2 linked regions of the Drosophila melanogaster genome follow. The protein of the gene in region 2 interacts with the protein of the main gene of each other region in a pairwise test. Each region holds a gene or a part of one and is shown on either strand. Other genes may lie near its edges.

Region 1 (4,827 bases), on a different chromosome or scaffold from region 2:
GGGCGTCATCCGCAGCACGCCGCTGTTTCACGCTGTGCAGAAGAATAGTATTAACCAAATGTGCCAAACATATTCAGTATGATCGAGCTCGCAGTCGAGAGCTTGTAATTCATATCAATTACCTACTTATTACTTGTTAGTTCATAATTATTTACGATGTATGGCCGTGCTTACATCAAAGACAATCGAATTAAATACATATACGTAGACCAATTGAGAATTCTGGTGTTTTTCAAGTTTGCATATTCAAAGAAGGCTGAATTAAAGATTGAACTTAAGATTTGCCATTACTTCTACAAGGCGCTAACTCAACGTTTTTGCTCTATAATGATCTTAAGGACCACAAGTAGTTAAGTAGATCCCATTGGATCCGACTAACATATGTAGAACAGGGAATGCGGCACTTGTTTTTTTGTTTTTTAACTAATTTCCATGAACCCATGGCCAAAGCCATGTGCCACTCGCGTTTTTTCGGTCACAAAATCAAACACGCATCGCTATTTTCACTTTAAAAAAAAGATTTTATTTAGTTTTTCTTCTTCATTGTACCGAAGAACCCTTAACGCGCACTATAGACAGTCGGAGTATCTGGATGCATTCTAGGCCTTGACGGCGAACTTCCTCTGGGGGAAGACGGAGCGCTTGCGGATCTCCTTGAGGGTCTTGCGGTTGGCGTCGCGCGGAGACAGGGCCTTGCGGATAGCGCGGGTCTTCTTCTTGCGCAGATCCAGGGGCTTGTACTTCTTGTTCTTGAAGACCTTGCGCAGATTCTCCTTCTGCTTCTGGTGCATCACAATGTAGACGCGAGCGATGGCCTTGCGGACAACGCGGCTGTATGGATAAGAACGCACATAAATGCACAAAACACCGGAATTAGTTCGTGACGCTTGTCGTTGTGCCGCGGCATACTCACATCTTGGAGAGCTTGGAGGGAGCTCCGCCGGTCACCTTGGCCACGCGCAGGCTGAGCAACTCATTCTTGAGCTCATCCAATTGCTTGGTGAGTTCCTTCTTGTCCTTGATCCTCAGCTCGGAGCACTTAACCTTCACCTGGACGGGAGCACAAACAAACGGGCAGAAAACAAGAACATTAGTATCGCTGCACTGCAAATGGCATGTTCATTGGCCCTTGGGCTGAGAGCATCGGGTGTCGATGGGTGTAACCAACCAACCATTTTTCTAGCTCTGCTCTTTAACACTCAGCACAGAACAAAAAAACCAACGAATTTTCCGTATTCACTAAACCAGCAAATTAAGAAATTCAGCACGTGGCTTAACGCAACCTCTCCGGAAACGCGGCGAAAAGAAAAGGAAAGAAGAAGAAGCAGAGGTGCTAGGGGTGAGCACAAAATAGTGTGCTAGCGTTGCGCGTCTCAACTAGCGTGGTACTGCATTATTAATCGCATTTTGTGTTAACACCATGAACGGCAGTAATTTGGGGCGCGTTTTAGCCATTACTTTGGCTTTTAATTGTTCGTTTCGTTGTAAAATAGGTTAGAAATCTTTTCGCTCACAAAATACCAACCATTTTTCTCGCTGGTCACGTCAAAAAAGAAAGATGGGACTTGGAGGAAAGAACTAGTTGGTGGTGGCACTATTGTAACTTCGAGCGTCGAACCAGTGGCAACGCTGATATCGAACCGGTTCCGAGTCCGTCATTAAAATAGATAAATCAAATTACTACGATTGCAAAAATATTCAATCACAATATTTACTTTTTTATTTTGCTAATGCCAATGAAAAGCTAAATAATACCATTTTAGAGAGCTATAAAATTAAGACATTACGCGTTTCGGAATTATTTTTCGAGGAAAATTATTTCTTATATAATTTAAACGTTTATATAAAATAATTATAACACCAACTATTTTGAGCGCAGAAGGAATCCTAAATTTATGATATTTTATAATTATTTTTTATAATTAATTTTTTTTTTTTAATTAATTTTTATACAACAATATAAGGAACGCACTGTTACCTATGTGGCAACAAAATTTGATCTGCTTAACGTGTTTTAGTTTTCATTGCGCGTTTATTATGGTAGTAACAACAGAATTATTTTTTTAAATATAGTTAGTCCTCCTAAGTCAAGACCCGATCGGTTTTGTTAAAAGGGTGGAATTAAATTATTTTAAGAAGCTAAATGTGTGTGCAAAAAAGTAGCCAGATTACGGCCACAGGTCACCACTAGATCGAAGTGGCGGTCTGGCAAGGCTGCTGTTACAGTGGTCCATCTCTATCGTGAGAATGTAAACAAAGCAGCAAGGTGGCAACGCCGCACTCACTTACTCCAGATAATCTACATAAATAATACAATTGGCAATATTCTTATCGTTTTAAGTAAATAACAGTAGTGATAAGCATTAAGCGGAGCTCAAACCACACAATGGCTGATCGGGCTATCAAGCTGCTGGTGATCGGGGAAAGCGGCGTGGGCAAGTCCAGGTGCAGTCCCAAGTCCATGGAGCAATTCCACTGCGTATATTACCAAAAGCTTGCATCACTCATCAACTTTCATTATCATTTCATCATAGTTTGATACGTCGCTTCGTGGAGAACAAGTTCGACCAGAACCATGACGTCACGATTGGCATGGACTTCAAGAGCAAAGTGATGCAGGTGGACGGCATAGACTACAAGGTGGCCCTGTGGGATACGGCGGGCGCCGAGAGATTCCGCAGCCTGACGCCCAGTTTCTATCGGAAGGCTCTGGGCGCCATTCTAGTGTACGACATCACCAGCAGGGACAGCCTGGTCAAGCTGGAAACCTGGCTGGCTGAACTGGATAGCTACAGCGACAATCCCAACATTGCCATCATTGTGGTAGGCAACAAGATCGACGAGGAGCGAGTTGTGGATCGCGAGGAGGGTCGAAAGTTTGCCAGGAAGCACAGGGCGCTCTTCATCGAGACCTCAGCCAAATGCGATCAGTTCGTCAGCGATGTGTTCAAAGATGTGGTGGAGAAGGTGAGCTAGCTACCAACCAAATACTTGGCATTCGTGTTTCCAATTATCCACATCCGCTTTGCAGATCGTCTCCTCCGAATACTTCAACAATGGCAATGCCTCCGCCGGTCTGGACATCGCCAGCGATCGGGATCTGGAGGCAAGCGCGTCTACGTGTTACTGTTGATTTCGAATGTTATGCGTGCTTTTGTCAAATTTATATCGTGTATTTATTTAATCGTTTCAATATCACTAGCATAAAGTCAATCAACCTTAACGTTCAATCGTGTACTCCAATCTGAGCAGGGCTATCGATTCACTTAGCTTGCAGGGTTTGCAGATCAGTCAGAATCCTTTTTAAATTCTATCCTTCTAATATTCCTGTACGGCTTATTGTCCATCTGCTTGCATTTCGTCTGCGACCAGTCAAAAGTCAAGTTCAGCATTTTCTTTTCATTATTTTATTGACATGATGATAGTTTTCCATTTGCGTTCACAAACGCAACAAATAAAGTGGAGAATTGGATTAGTGACCAACTGAAATGTACATGGGCTATGCGATTTTTTTTATTTCTATTGCATCTGGTGGTGTAAATTTATAAGTGAGTTCGGTTTATATTTACAATTATCGATGATTAATATTTATTAATTAACGCTAACAAGGTGGATTTAGAAATCAATGAAGCTGTTCTTCACGATTGGCTCGCTCGCTATTCATCAATTTCTTGTAAATCCCTTGCACGCGACGGATGCTTAGAAAACAAAGCTGGACATTTGGCCGCAACAATTCCCGGAGCACGCCCCTTATGTACATTTTTGTAATCGCATAGGTTCCGTAAGAGTAACTTAGAATCTAACTTCACGCTGTTGCTCCTCCATCGATACCTCGGATCCGCACCTGCTCCCGCCCAGTTCCCCAGTGATGCGCACGACGGGCATCTCTCCCATCTCCTTACTACTTCCCCGCAAGGCCGCTCTTCTTGGCGTCCAGTTCGTAAATGAGCAGACGCCACATCTTCACCACAAAGACCTCGGCTTCCTCGTCGAGTACCTGAAGATTTGAAACATTGAAACAGAGCGAGAGGGATAGAGTTTGGATTAGTTCATAGAATGGTAGTGGTTATCGTATCGTATCGTATCGCTTCAAACTACTCACCATTTGCACATCATCCAAGATGCTTTGAGGCGGGCTGCCGGCCAACACTTTGGAACATATAAAGTCCACTAGCGTCGGCTCCGGCTCACCGATATACTCGATGATTTTCTTATTTATCCATGGACGTATTTTGCGTTCCATTAGACCGCTGTCAATCTCGTTGCGGTCTAGCTTATAATTAAATAGCTCCTCCTTTTGCGTGGGTATCCTGTCAATAATGCTTTTTATATGCCGCCGTTTTTCATCATACACCTTTGCACCATTCTCATCCTTTTTGATGTTCGCAGCGGCAGCATCTGCGCTACTGCCAGCAGATGCAGCTGCCTCATTCTTACCATGTTTGCTGTTGCTGTTATGTTTGTTGTTGCTGCTGCTGCTGCTGCCGCCGCCGTTGTTCTTGCCGCCTGATGCGTTCGAACCGGAGCCGGATCCCGAACCCGACCCCGATGAGCCGCCACCGAAAGCCTGGGCGATCTTCTGGCTAACGGCAGCGGCTGCAGCGGTTGCCGCCGACACGGCGGAGCTTTGGCGATCCGCCGAGCTGCTGTTATTGTTGTTGCTGCTGCTGCTGTTGTTCGCAGCTCCGCTGCCGCTGCTGGCTGCATGATTGGATGGCGTGGTGTTGCTTATGTTATCATCGTAGTCTGCGAAGGCAAGGTAACAAACAGCAAGTCATCAGAGGATGCTCTACGATCTAATATAGTTGATCGAAAACTCACCTAGCG
Region 2 (4,582 bases):
CCATCCTGGAGATCCCTCTCAGCTGCCTCCACTTCTTCTGAGCATCCGGATCCATCATTTTCACTCTCCTCCTCCCGTACATCCTTGAGGAAGCGGTAAAACTGGTGACTTCTCTCGTACGTTTCTATGATATCGAATGCATTCTGCGCATCCTCCAGACAGGACTTGCATATGGTGTTGGACAGTGGATCGTGCTTCTCAACTTGCCAGCCGGTGCACTTGTATATTATGTACGCAATGGATAGGCCCGGTTCATGAGACTCATCGAAAACACTGGCCATATTTTCGTAACTGACCAGGCAAACTCGGCATATTGACGATTCCATCGATCTGAAATGACACGAACTGTGTGAATATAAAATTGCGAATATACAAAATCGTGCACTTAAACGGTTTCAAAAAAGTATAATGGTTATTCCCAGATCTTTGAGTATTAGCGTTTCTGGAATCTACATCCTGAATGCTAAATACACTGAGATCTCAACTTTCAAACAAACGGACAGAATAGGTACGACTAGATCGTAGTCATGGATGACACATACACTTTATAAGGTCAGTGACAAACGTCATCTTTTAGTTGCATAGCATCAAAAAGAACCCTCTGCACTCTTTCTTATATTTAATAATCAATGAAATTTAATACTTGTGTAGAGCTTTAAACATAAATTGCACTAATTTCCAAATACATCTTGGTTTATTTATGACTTTGCTAACTCGGCACGAATTGACCCACAATGGCAATCCTTACCTTAAACTTACCTTATTTTCGTGTTTGTTCACGGCGAATGCGTATTTAAAATGTGGCAATAAGCACAGGAATTGGCAATCTGTAAAGATGTTGCTATGACAAGGGTTGTACTCCTTCTGAAGTGAATAGGTAAGTCGTAAGGCTTATATACAAACATGTCCCAAGGTCGTTTGGTTCTGTAAAATGGGCAACATAGCATATTTAACAATGTTACCTGGGTCAGGTGTCATCAAAGAAGGGCTTTCCAGCAGCTGCACTCATCTTTTTACGGTGCGTCCCAACTAATCTTACGATTTTCTGTAGATCCAAGCAGGTCAATGCATAATGTGATACATGCAGGTAAAAGTAACTATGGTTAAAGAAAAAATCTTTCCTTGGTCGACCCCAAAGTGCTAAATCATTATTGCTGAACTCTAAAACCATGTGTTTGTAACGAAATATACTTATTGGGGTGGTGGAAAACAGGGGAAAACCATTTACCCAATGACCAATAAAGCTAGCCATACCCTTCTATTCCCAATATACCCCATGGCGGAATCATTCTAGTAGCAAATTATTCAATAAAAAACATACAGTACAAAAAAACGAATAATTCAATTTTAAATACAAGACTAAAACAAAGTAAATGGCATCGATTTCTGGTGTTAATTAAGTACATATGTACATTATTAATAACTTTGTAAATCAAAAGGAGTAAGCGATTATTGCCTTTATAGATAATGTGCTAGAATTATTCCTTAAATTCCTTTTCTTGATGACATTAAAACACTCGAACCCCAAAGTTTTTAAAAACATTTATGTTAAATCAACTACAATAATAAAACTAGAAAGTAACCTATAGTCGAGCAAGCCTTATTTGATGCGATGCCCTTTTTCTATGGAACCATTTCCCTTGTATTACCAACTACTAAAGATAAACGTCGTTGAATTGCTAGTAACATTGTTTATTCCGAGTGAAATGGATGATTTTGAAGACTCCTCATATGAGGATGTTGTGGCACCGCATGCCCGTTAACATGGGCATCTTCTTTGGTCCGGAGATGAACCTTCCCGCCACCTGCAGGAACTCGCTCTGCCCCCGACCGAACAAAGAAGCGTTCTGGGTGAGCTCGACGTTCACGTGGTTCTCGGTCAGGTAGACCTGTCCGTTGATGTGGAAGTGGCTGTTGGTAATGTAGATGTTTTGTGTGGAGGGGGAGTTGACCTTTTCGGCGTGCAATGAGCCGGAGACCGTACCGGTCAGGGAGTCCGATCGCCTCCACACCACCATTGATTCTTCGGAGGACTTGGCCATTGCTACCCGGTTTCCGGATCTGACACTTCCATAGCTACTGGAGCTACTGCTGATATCCAGCTCGTGCAGAAGTTCGCGCATTTCCAGACACTGCAACTGCAGGATACTGAGCTGCTCCTTCAGATTTTCATTGTGGTCCTGCAGGAGATCGAAGGGATTCGAATCGTCCTGCTGGCTTGGCGCCTTCTGCTCAACAACTGGGTCCTGCACTTTGGCAGCAGATTTGGGATGCAGCGCCTTTTTGCTCTTGAAATACCTTTTGGCCTGCAGCTCCGCCAGTTGGAGCAGCTTGGACAGACCAAAGGTCAGGGCAAAGATCACGCCGAAGCTCGTCGCAAACTGGTAGGTGCTGTCGGAGCTGTCGGAGCTACTCTGCTCTGAGGGACTGTGGCACAGCTGCGGCTCAAACGTAATCCCAGGACGCTCTGTACAAGTGAATAAAAGGCAAAAGGTAAATAACAACTTTGTGAAAAACTTTAAGGGTCGATAAGTATTTGGAACACCAAATTACATCAACTTTTCTAGGTATCTACGTTCAGTCGGACGGAAAGACGGACATGGCCAGATCACTGGCAAGTGATCTTAAGAAAGATTAATACATATACTTAATGTCTGATATCTATTTCATATGTTAAATCAAATCTCGAATACCCTTTAATACCACAAATAACGATTAAAATAATATAGACATTAACTTCTAATGTATCCGGCTTTAAAAGGATCACTTTTAAGAGTGATTAAAAAATCATAAGTGTAGTGTTGGATTCAACCACCATTTCTTCACTTAACTCAAAACAACAATGGACATCCTCACCTGTGTATAATTCGACTCGGAAATCAGAGGAGAGCCGCGTCTGGACCTGGACGAAGTGCTGGAAGCAGAGAACGGCCCAGGCCACGAAGGCCAAGGCAGCCAGGAACAAGAAACTTATGCATTCGAACATGATTCCCGAAATTTTGTTGTGTGCTGATAACGTGTGTAGTTATAAAAACAGCTTTCGAACAAGTCGGGCCTCGTGTGGAAAATAAAGAAATATCGGACACTAAAATCAAAGCGAATAAGATTGTAAAAGGACTCTGTTTCTTTCGGTTTCTTTTTAATTTCTTGAAATCTTAAAAAAGCTATTAGAATTTCAACTTATTTATTTTAAAGAAATTTCTTTTTTTTTTTGATGTTTTAAGATATTTGATTTGAAACAATTTTATTCCAAATTAATTTTCGACTGTTTGGTACAACAATGCATATCAATTACTTAAATTTATTTATTTAATTTTGAATTCAATATTGTCTTCGGTATTTGTACGACATTGTACGTTATTCATCCCGACTTGCGGCTGGTCACACTGCGCTAAACAAAGTACGAAACGTGATTTTTCGTTTCAATAATTTTTAAAGTAAATAAGCAACCTTGTCCAAATAAAATGGAGATGATGGTATGTAGTGGCTAAAAGAAATTAACCGATTCTGATTAATGGACTTGTTAGCATGGAGCGTCGCTGCTGTCGCGGCCAGCGGAGGAATTTGGCAACGACACCCTGGTGGAGGAAATGTGGGCCGCAAAAGCTCTGGAACACGCCGAGGTGCACTTTAATGTGAGTACACTTTGAACGATGTTAAGGAATGGTAGTTGACACTGCTTCATCGTATTCCCGGCAGCTCATCACCAGCGTCCATCCCTCCCAGCTGAAGCTCACGCCCTACGACGACCAGATATACGCCACTTTCCGGCAGGATTTTCCCGATCTTCACGTTGGCCGGCTTACCGATGATATTCTCAAATCCGCCACGGCGAAGCTCAAGTGGCGCCAGTTCGCCGAGAAGTTTAACAAGTTGGACGATTACTCGTATGGCACCCTGATGCGCGCCGATGCCAGCAGGGAATTCTCCCCGGACAACTCTATCTTCGTGTTTCGCGTCCAGTTTCTGGCCATCGAGATTGCCCGGAATCGGGAGGGACTCAACGATGAGGCTTACGAGAAGCACAAGCCCGCCAGAAAGGTACCCGAAGAGGAACAGTAATCCCTCGCTCTAGCTTAGATTAAGTTGTAAAGACTGGATGCATATTTAGCTGCAGTTCGTCTATCTACTTTAGTAAACAATCAAATTATTTTTATACAAAAAATAAAAATATAACGACCGCCTTTAAATTGTTCCCTACACGTTGCCATTTCTTGACTTTGTATTCTGCTTTCTGCCAATCTGTGGGATGAGATCCACATCTTTAATAAAAATTAGATTAACATTTGATCAAAGTTGTGTTGTAATAATCTAATGTATACATCTCAAAGTTCTGATGCAAACATTCTGTTTAAAAACATATTCGCTTTTATTGGGAAATCGATTCCATTTTATCTGTGAACAACAATAAACCCATGGTTTTATGTTAGAATATTGTATCCTAAACTATATATTGTATATATTAAATATATAATTAATGGGATTTGCCTAGTTGCTACATGTATTGCCCGCACTTGGTCCATCTTCAGTCTTGCTTTTGGGCAGTCTAGCGAATCTGCTTGCGCCCTGTTCTTCTCAATTC

Evidence for each region. Proteins that work in one complex are often made in the same cells at the same time.
Region 1: the proteins of CG7202 (region 2) and RpL35 interact in a two-hybrid assay, tested with the Drosophila melanogaster proteins (one large-scale study listed by BioGRID).

The regions. Positions count from the first base shown.
Region 1 is NC_004354.4:5,669,221-5,674,047, reverse strand, and holds RpL35 (ribosomal protein L35), read right to left. Parts: upstream 1,648-4,827; 5' UTR 1,529-1,647; coding exon 1,526-1,528; intron 1,315-1,525; exon of another isoform or gene 1,176-1,314; coding exon of another isoform or gene 1,173-1,175; intron 1,051-1,172; coding exon 914-1,050; intron 832-913; coding exon 600-831; 3' UTR 501-599; downstream 1-500. Other genes in the region: Tre1 (trapped in endoderm 1), read left to right, coding at 1-82; Rab18, read left to right, coding at 2,387-2,445, 2,535-2,967, 3,032-3,133; CG4119 (uncharacterized protein), read right to left, coding at 3,902-3,997, 4,103-4,746, 4,822-4,827.
Region 2 is NT_037436.4:21,489,721-21,494,302, forward strand, and holds CG7202 (uncharacterized protein), read right to left. Parts: upstream 3,054-4,582; 5' UTR 2,987-3,053; coding exon 2,857-2,986; intron 2,468-2,856; coding exon 1,728-2,467; 3' UTR 1,679-1,727; downstream 1-1,678. Other genes in the region: Neu2 (Neuroectoderm-expressed 2), read right to left, coding at 1-281; CG7519 (uncharacterized protein), read left to right, coding at 3,465-3,476, 3,528-3,635, 3,700-4,062.